Drosophila melanogaster: one gene and its partner. The protein of the gene in region 1 purifies or fractionates together with the protein of each later gene. This does not show direct contact. Each region holds a gene or a part of one and is shown in the gene's direction. Other genes may lie near its edges.

Region 1 (6,625 bases):
TATTACCATGGTTTGACCACTGTGCTTGCAAGACGCAGCTGCGCAATGAGTTCGGTATATTGAGAGGTCATTCTTAGAATTTGACTATCACGAAGAATATGACTGGCGTCAAAGTACCGTTACGAGTGAGGCGACGGCGTTGTCGCGCTGTCGCCTAGTTGGACTACACTAGCGTGTGTAAAGGATAGATCGATGCGTAGAAAATACGATCAGTTGCATACAGACGATCGCGCACGCCGGTTGGAATTCGCTTCACTCAACATGGGAGATCAGGCACAAGAAAATGTCAACGCTGCGACATATGCATGTACATACATATGTACATAATGGCGTTGCAAGCATATAGAATAGAGCTTTGTTTTATGGTCATCAGGCATCGATGGATTATCTGGCCTACTTAACGGTATACTAATTAGATATCGGCGAAGTACAAGCTCACAGAACATGTTTCCATTCGGAGAATCCTGTATTTTGCATAAATCAATAGGGGACATGATTTGTTGTGCACATGTGTGCTGCACGAATCAACGTGGGCTGTGTATGCGTGTGTGCAATCCTTTACATTTGCAACTTATTGGATGAACTGCGTGTTCTTAAGAACGAACTAAGCATTGTTTATGAAATACCGAATCCTTGCTAATTCTAAAAGCAATATATTGGCGTATTTTACAATATGACTAGGCAAATTTTAAATTTCAGATACATATACTTGTCATATTCTACTGTCATAGCTGTAATAACTGTCACTGAATTACTATCTTTTTAATATTTAATTTGTTGTTTTCGCAGATTTGTTTATTTGTCTTGAGCACCTCTCTTTCGCTCTCTCATTCTCCCGCGTTTTAAATTTGTTTTGTTTTGGCGCGCAAATTTTCGAAATGAGATGTTCGAAAATCAGATGGGCAGCGCTGCCAGCGTCGCTGTTTGTCGTTGTTGCGTTTTGCGTTGTTGGGATTTAAGTGTTTTAAACCATTTTTTTTTGCGATTTCGCACCTGATTTTGGACGTTAATGAGCAGCTGGGAGTGGGCGAATGCGTCCGCGTTCATCACTAAGTTGCACAGCAGGAACCACAGAAACGCGCGACTGTGCTTGAAAAAGTGATTTTTACTGACGACGCGACCGCAGCAATTGCCGTGCGCTGGTGTTCGAGTGCGGCTGAGTGCCTTAAGATGCGCCATTCGCCAGCGGACCTGCGCCTGCCTTGCCGCATTTGCGGCAGTTTCGATGCTCTGGTGTGGGTGCTCCTCCTTTAAGATCATTGCGATCCGACAACTTTTAAATAAAATCACAAGAAAGCACAACGAACCACTCGCGTCGACGAACGAAAAATAACTGGCAGAAAATGGTGAAACTGACTGAAACGTGACTTTTCGAAATCAGCTGACAGGTGTGACCGTGCGGTAATCCCAAAGGGTGCTGCCAACCTTCTCGAACAGGAGCCTACGAATTTCGATTGTAGAAAATATACCAACCCAATATAGCTGCATTACACTGGCACACATATCTATATCTATAGAATAAATAGACTACATTCATTTTCATTTAGTATTTAAATATTCATATTGGAATTTCCACTGCATACGTTCACACCAGCCGCACAGCTGATGCCTGTACTATGCACTAAAATTTCCCAAAACGCGTTGCCTCGCCGTCGCTTGTGACGTGTTGTTTTTTTGTAAAATATGTTTTTCAGCTGCTAAAACGGACATAGATTGTTGAAAATCCACTGAAACTAACTCAGAAGGACGGGCTAAAGACGGACTATATAATGCTGACCCTGCGGGAGCGCCAAATCAGTGAGAAACTATGAAAACAATGCCCCCATTGAAGGGAAAACCTAATTAATGGATTTTCATATTAATCATTGCAGATGCCATTAAGCAGATGCTTAATTTGAACTCGCAGCAGCCGAAAGCCCTAGCTGCCGAGCCCGTGTGGAAGATCCTTATCTACGATCGCGTTGGCCAGGACATCATATCGCCCATTATTTCCATCAAGGAGCTGCGCGAGTTGGGCGTGACGCTGCATGTGTAAGTTGTGCGAGATCCTCCAGGAATCCAGAAATTATAGCTTTGGTTAACCTCCAGGCAACTGCACTCGGATCGCGACTCCATTCCGGATGTGCCGGCTATATACTTCTGCCTGCCCACCGACGAGAATTTGGACAGGATTCAGCAGGACTTCTCGAGCGGACTGTACGACGTGTACCACCTGAACTTCCTAGCTCCCATAACGCGCAGCAAAATCGAGAATCTGGCCGCCGCAGCCCTGCATGCCGGCTGCGTGGCCAACATCCATCGCGTTTACGACCAGTATGTGAACTTCATCAGTCTGGAGGATGACTTCTTCATCCTAAAGCACCAGCAGAGCGATCAGCTTTCATACTACGCCATCAACCGGGCCAACACCCGCGATGAAGAGATGGAGGCCCTGATGGACTCCATTGTAGACTCGCTCTTCGCCCTGTTTGTGACCCTGGGCAATGTGCCCATCATCCGCTGTCCGCGGAACAGTGCCGCTGAAATGGTGGCACGCAAGCTGGAGAAGAAGCTGCGCGAGAACCTTTGGGATGCGCGTGCCAATTTGTTCCACATGGATGCCACGCAAGCCGGCGGCGGAGTGTTCAGCTTTCAGAGACCTGTGCTCCTGCTGCTGGACAGGAACATGGATTTAGCCACGCCGCTCCATCACACCTGGTCGTATCAGGCGCTTGTGCACGATGTACTGGACTTGGGACTGAATCTTGTCTACGTGGAGGACGAGACGGCTAGTGCGGGCAAGTAAAATTACTTTTATCAAGGCGCTGAATAACTGAGACTCACCAACTACGTTTTCCTATTCTTTAGGAGCCCGCAAAAAACCCAAGGCCTGTGACTTGGACCGCAACGACCGCTTCTGGATGACGCACAAGGGCAGTCCATTTCCCACGGTGGCCGAAGCCATCCAGGAGGAGCTGGAATCCTATCGGAACTCCGAGGAGGAGATCAAGCGCTTGAAGACATCGATGGGTATCGAGGGCGAGTCGGACATTGCATTCTCTTTGGTCAATGACACAACGGCCAGGCTCACCAATGCCGTCAATTCGCTGCCCCAACTGATGGAGAAGAAGCGACTGATCGACATGCACACCAAGATCGCCACTGCAATCCTGAACTTCATTAAGGCTCGACGACTGGATTCGTTTTTTGAGATCGAGGAGAAGGTCATGTCGAAGCAGACACTGGACAGACCGCTGCTGGACCTACTGCGAGATGGAGAGTTTGGTCAGGCGGAGGACAAGCTGCGCCTGTATATCATCTACTTTATCTGCGCCCAGCAGTTACCCGAATCGGAGCAGGAGCGGCTCAAGGAGGCGCTGCAGGCTGCCGGTTGTGACCTAACTGCCCTTGCGTACGTGCAACGATGGAAGGGAATCATGAACCGCTCGCCGAGCATTAGCCAAGCCACACAGTACGAGGGTGGCGGCACCAAGACTGTGTCCATGTTCACTAAACTCGTCTCACAGGGCAGCTCCTTCGTGATGGAGGGCGTCAAGAATCTGGTGGTCAAGCGACATGTGAGTTTCTCTTTCCAAATTCAAATTCAAGTTCTATATCAAAATTGTTTGCAGAATCTTCCGGTGACCAAGATCACCGAGCAGGTGATGGAGTGCCGCAGCAATGCGGAGACGGATGACTACCTTTATCTGGATCCAAAGCTGCTCAAAGGTGGCGAGGTCCTGCCCAAAAATCGTGCTCCATTCCAGGACGCCGTGGTGTTCATGGTCGGCGGAGGCAACTACATCGAGTACCAGAACCTGGTGGACTTCATCAAACAGAAGCAAACGTCCAATGTGCAACGGCGCATCATTTATGGCGCTTCCACGCTGACCAACGCGAGGCAGTTCCTCAAGGAGCTCTCCGCCCTGGGCGGCGAGATCCAGTCGCCGACGGCGACGAGTTAGGAGCGGCTGCTCCGATTCCATTGCTGCTGAGCGGAGTGGACCGGGTTTTGGTTGCATGTGCATGGGTGTCTGTGTGGCTTCTTTCGTTTACTTTAAGCATATCCAAAAATAAATTAAATGCCAGGCAAAAAAGAGAAGCAAGCGAACGCAACGGCAGAGCCAGAGCTCAGCACTCGGCAATTACTCCAACCTGACGCTTAATCCCCGAAGGACAACAAGCAAAAACATGCGTAGCCTCGTGTACAACAAGCCCAGGGAGCTGGTGCCAGAGCTGCTGGAATGGGAGCTTGGCGGCGGGCAGGGGTACTCGCATTCTAGGCACCCATTAACACCAACTTGGCAACGCTTTGATGGACAGCTGACAGACAACCAGTCAACGGCTGAGGCGATGATGGCCCAGCCATCCCGATGCCCGCTGCCTTCGGCGGCGGTGCCACAATTATGGGGCGACAACTATGCGCGGCACTTGGGGACAGGCGCAGAAGCTGGCAGGGACAGCACCCAGCAATTAGCACTATCCCTGGCCAACTATGAATGGATCGAGGCGAGGCAAGTCGCTGTCGATGGCATAGCCAGCGCACTGGAGCACTAGGCGCATTTTTTCGAAGCACTGCAGCTCTGATTGAATGTCGCTTCCTTGGGAGACGGGCAGGCAGCCTGGCAGCCAGGCAGGCCAAGTCCATCAAAGAAGAGCGTTAAATTATCCCTGAAAGCCCATCTTTGGTTTGAATTGGTGTTGCAAGAAAAGATGATGTAAATGAAAATTCTAACAAGTAGGAAAAAGAAGTGGCAGGAAAAGGAATGTTTTAAGAACCTTATTAACCGATACCAAATTATAGAAATCAATTGTAAAAACAACGATAGAGAATGTTTATAGAATTGATTCTACAGATTGGCCAATGTAGTAAAGTAATAAAATCTCTAAGATTTTCCTCAATTTAATGGCATTTGACCAGCGAAATGCTGAAATTTTCCCCATGAAATGAAAAAGCTCGAACTGAAAATATTTCCAATGACATTCAGGCCACTGTAGGAAGTTTCCCGAGATAAGCGGCAAACAAATACCACAAAAAATGAGTAAAATATGGTGGAGAAAAAAGCGATCCGTGGGCTAATTAACACTTTTGGTAAATCAGAATTGATGGCCCTGATGAAAGGCCGAAGAAGAGATGATGACGATGACGATGATTATTCATGGAGCGTTGAGTTTAAATATTGGTTTTGGTTGGGCAGCCGGGCAGGGGTTGGGTTACTATCCAGACTACCCGTGGCCACAATTTAAATGTTAACATAAACAAGAGCAATTTAACAAAAGCCCAAGACCCAAAAAAAAATCCAAGAGACTCGAAAAAAAAAATAAATAAATAAAAGTACAGGGGAAACGAAAAGTCGAACTCCCAGCCAGAAACTGGTAACCCAAAGTGATTTCACGGGTGGTCCGAAAAGATGCGGCTCAAACAAATCATAAGGAAAAAATGAGAGGGAAAAACGACTACAGAAACTAACAACGAGAACGCAACATGAAAGAAATTCTTAACTTGCCACATGCATGAATCGATTATGTGGTAAATGCAACTGTCGCTGTATGCGTGAGTATCTGTGTGGTGTGGATCTCGTAGCCAGCGCAGCTCCTCCGCCGTCGAGACCCAAAAATCGAGAAAAAAAATAAAATGGTCAGGCAGCCGTTTCCCACATTCCTGCTGTGAATCATAATGGCTGCCGCTGTCGTCGTCTTGCTGGATGATTCTGCCGGATCCGACCGACCCGCCCGATCCGCTCGCTCAGCGCCCCAGCCGCCCAATCTCCGCCAGCACACCGACACACACTCGCCGACATCCCATACATATATCATAATCTTAACAACTCTTAACAAGGCAGAACAAATTCCAAAATTCGAGGAGCCCGACTCGAACAGCCAGTCAGGCAGTCGGACGATCCCACAAAATGAAGTGCCAGCCAGACAGAGAAGGCGATCTTCAGACACAGCTTCAGCTTTAGCTTTGGGTTGGGATCTTTAGACCCAATGAATGGACTCGAAGTGGAGAGTCTGCTGAGATCTGGTCAGATATGTGGGTTCATATGGGAGGGCATAACCCTTGTGGTTTTGATGGTTTTTATAAGCGCAATATAAGTTTTTCCCACTCTTATTAAACATCAATGTTTGATATTGTACACAAGCAAAAAATAAATATATATACATATGATCCAAAAAAATAAATATAAATAAATGTATTTGCAACCTATGAACTGTTTTGGATATGCTTTAGTAGTATATACATACATCTATAGTTTACTTCAGCTGGAACTCCCTAACACATGTCCATCAACTTTACATTCTAATTTTGTTTGATCTGCGCCAGACCTGTGGACTCCCACAGTTGGACCCTTGTGTTATCCTTGTCAGCATTTTGTTGGAATATCCCATTGTTGTTCCCAGCCGGGATGGTGCTACCACAAACATTTTCTGGGCATCGCCGCCCTCGGTGGTCCGCTTTTGGAGATCGGGAGCGGCATGTTAATTAATCAGCCAAATAATAATACAGCACCCATCGGCGGAGAAGAAACGAGCCGAAGCGCAGAGGTAGAGGTTCCAAATATTTGCCGGCAATAAAAGAGCAGCGCGGATGGATGGATCATCCTGCGAGGAGTAGGAGTTGGAGAGCAGGAGGAGGAGAATGAGG
Region 2 (3,268 bases), on another chromosome or scaffold:
TTCGTGGCTATCAGGGATTGACGAATCATGTGTCCAGTGGCTTGGCCTGGTACATCAACGGCTACATGATTCCAGAGCTTTACCTAAAGCGTGGTCTGACCTACACCTTTAAGGTTAGGGGTGGCAATAATCCTCACTCGCCGGAGCACTATCATCCGTTGGTTATCACCGATGATCCCCAGGGTGGGTATGACCGACTGTCTGATGCAAAGCAGAGTGAGATTCGTGTATTAGCCGGTGTTGAATTCACCCGGAGAGGCAGGCCCAAGCCCACGGCTGCTGGTCCCCTGTGCCTGTCCAGATATCCTCAAAATAGTGATCGTCGACTGGATGATAACTTCCCCACTTTCAAGAAGTTCAATCGATCCCTCATCACCGAGTGTGTAGAAGGGGAACCGGCTCTATTGGAAATTACACCGAATATCACATGGCCGGATACTGTGTACTACAACTCCTTTACCCATGGCAATATGGGCTGGAAGATTCACATCGTGGACAGTTATACCAACTTGAAGAGTGGATCGATGGGCTTATCCTGGTCCTTGTGCATCATCCTGCTACCGTGGCTCGTGCTCCAGAACTGACTGTTTTCTCATTCTTAGATTCTCCTATTTAGTGTCTTAGTCTAAATTAAGCAGTCACAATCTATGTATTTGATACGCGTGTGTAGAATGTATGCTAAATGTTGTGTATATTATTATTTATATGATATTTAAATACAGAACTGTGTTGTACTTTAGAAGAATGAGCTATGAAGTTTTGACCCAACAAAAAATCTAATATACATCATTTTTTCAGTGAATTAGATTTATTTGAAATGTTATTGTAGAATCATGGCAGCTGTTATTCTGGATGAAACATGGTGTACAAATCACCGAAATGGGCGCCTAAGATTCGGATTCACGTTCTACCTTCTTGCGCGGCACAGGCTTTCCGTTCACCCACGGAGTGAACTTCACATGGCTGATGTTTCGCTTGGCGGCGTCTGCACGGAGCTCAATGCGCAGGGCCTCTCGCACCACACGGGCTGCGATGTTGGAATACTGGATATAGGTAATACCCAGATCTCTCCAGGCTTTCATCTTGCAGTAATATGGGATTAACTATAAAGATGTTAGGATAATAAGTCAAAAAAAGCTATCTGCATATAAAGGATCTTACCTTCTTCCGTTAAGAATTCGATATAAAACCGAGCGACGGGTTTCTTTTCAAGATTTCGCACACGATTGGTAAAGCCTATGTTAATATTTAATTGCATTAAGTTACAATATCAAAGTAAGTTAAATCAAAGCGCCTTGCTACCTCCTCACTTTAAGATCTTTTAAGGCAAAGCACGTGTCTTTTTATCGATGTTTTTTTTTTATCCAGACAGGGCTACAAACTTAATCGAACTAGGAGTTCTATGGATGCGATAAAAGTTCGATTTGAAACCAAATCGATACAATTTTTTAAATATATTCAAAATCCAGCTTACATGAAATGTAAATATAGCTTACTTTTCACCCCCCAAGCTCGCATATTATATGGTATGCATTTATTTAATTAAATACAAATATATATTTTATGCAACTTTAGTAAAGCACTTAATATTACCATAATACCAGTGTCATACCCGCATAGAAAAGGAGCGGCCTTTTGTGTTTTTCTCGGCACTTGCGCACTTGGGCACACTTATTTGAATATAAGTCACTTGAATTGATTTTTTCAACACGCAAAGGTTGTAACTTAGCACTATGAGCACTCTTGATGCCAAAAAGATAGAAGAGGCGGAGGCCTTGATAGGACAGACGGATAGTGCCGCGAATGAGTATGCCAAAGCTGGTATGTATTTCAAGGCAGCAACCGCATATCGAATTGCCAAAAGTTTCGATAAGCGCAAGGATTGTCTTTTGAAGGCCATCGACTGTTACGAAAACAACAAGTCATGGTTCCATGCAGCCAAATCCTACGAGCAGATTATCCTGCTTGCCAAAGAAACGGACAAACTGTCCGAAGTGGAGGACTATGCCAATAGGGCTTGCTGTCTCTACCAGCAACATGGTTCGCCGGAAGCAGCAGCTGCTGCTCTCGATAAAGCCGCCAAAATGACGGAATCCAAGCATCCTGACTTGGCTTTGGGATTTTACAAACGCGCCCTGGCAGTCGTCTTGATTGGGGACTCCACTCATCAGGCATCGGAATTTGCATCGAAGGTTTCCCGGATATTGGTCAGACTCAAAAAATATGAAGAAGCCACGAAAGCCCTCAAAAAGGAAATAAGCCTAAATCTGCAGACAAAGTCTTACGGACAAGTTGGCCGTTTAGTAGTTGCTTTAATACTGGTACAATTAACACTAGAGGATTACGTGGATGCCAAGAAGACCTTCAAGAAATGGGGAAACCGTTGTGATCCCCAGGAGGTGAACACATTACAAAACCTACTCAAAGCTTTTGACGACGAGGATCCTGAGCTGGCCACCAAGATGCTGGCATCTCCATTCATAAGACACATGGACGTGGAGTACGCACTTTTATCTAAAGATGTGCCATTACCAAAAGGAAATCGTCAAATGACCAAAAATGCAGTCGACAATGCCGCAAACTAAAGAGCTTTTACAAAATGTGGTTTATAAATGTTGTAGTAGTTTTATTATTGTTCCTTAGGTGAAAAAGTTTCATAAATGTAGGTACACTGTTAAAAATATACAAAAATATAAAAAGTGCTAACTCAGAAAACGCATCAGGTGAATTTATAATGCCTTTCCACAACTTTTATACGAAACATATTTTTTACCTTTAAATTTATTGTTACTCAATCTTTTACACTACTTTTTATGCATTTTATACATATTTTTTACATATCCCTAAAATTATACTAATAGTTTTGAACATCGAGTTCTAATTAAAATTATATTCGCTTAATAATATGCAACGTTTGACAAAAAAATGTTTTCAAAATTAAAATTGACAAATACATTCACGAAAAAATCTTTAAAGCATGTGTTTTAAATTCTTTTCAAATAATTGGAGCTCTCACTTAAGAAATTCGTGTTCAATTTGATCAGGAAGCCCAGCTTAACATTAAGCCCTAATTTTATTTTGAGTTATCAATCGGCTTATTGGACTTTAGATTATTTTGGACTCTTCGCCGTGCTTGTATCTGCAGCAGATAAGATACAGTTGAGACCATGTGTATAATTAGCCGTCCCATCAATAAACTTATCCACTGGACACTCGCTCCAATCGCAGTGTCATTTCGCAACGAACAATCATGATGAAGTGTGGCCGG

What was found. Proteins that work in one complex are often made in the same cells at the same time.
Region 2: the proteins of Slh (region 1) and gammaSnap2 purify together in Drosophila melanogaster (affinity purification with mass spectrometry, with the first as the bait; one large-scale study listed by BioGRID). This does not show direct contact.

Annotation. Positions count from the first base shown.
Region 1 is NT_033779.5:2,487,665-2,494,289, reverse strand, and holds Slh (SLY-1 homologous), read left to right. Parts: upstream 1-1,618; 5' UTR 1,619-1,769; coding exon 1,770-1,797; intron 1,798-1,871; coding exon 1,872-2,031; intron 2,032-2,088; coding exon 2,089-2,777; intron 2,778-2,847; coding exon 2,848-3,557; intron 3,558-3,611; coding exon 3,612-3,944; 3' UTR 3,945-6,093; downstream 6,094-6,625. Other genes in the region: oaf (out at first), read right to left, coding at 994-1,260. UniProt on the Drosophila melanogaster protein: Non-vital for development.
Region 2 is NT_033777.3:10,119,840-10,123,107, reverse strand, and holds gammaSnap2 (gamma soluble NSF attachment protein 2), read left to right. Parts: upstream 1-1,707; 5' UTR 1,708-1,733; coding exon 1,734-2,585; 3' UTR 2,586-2,709; downstream 2,710-3,268. Other genes in the region: knk (knickkopf), read left to right, coding at 1-584; ATPsynepsilonL (ATP synthase, epsilon subunit-like), read right to left, coding at 888-1,082.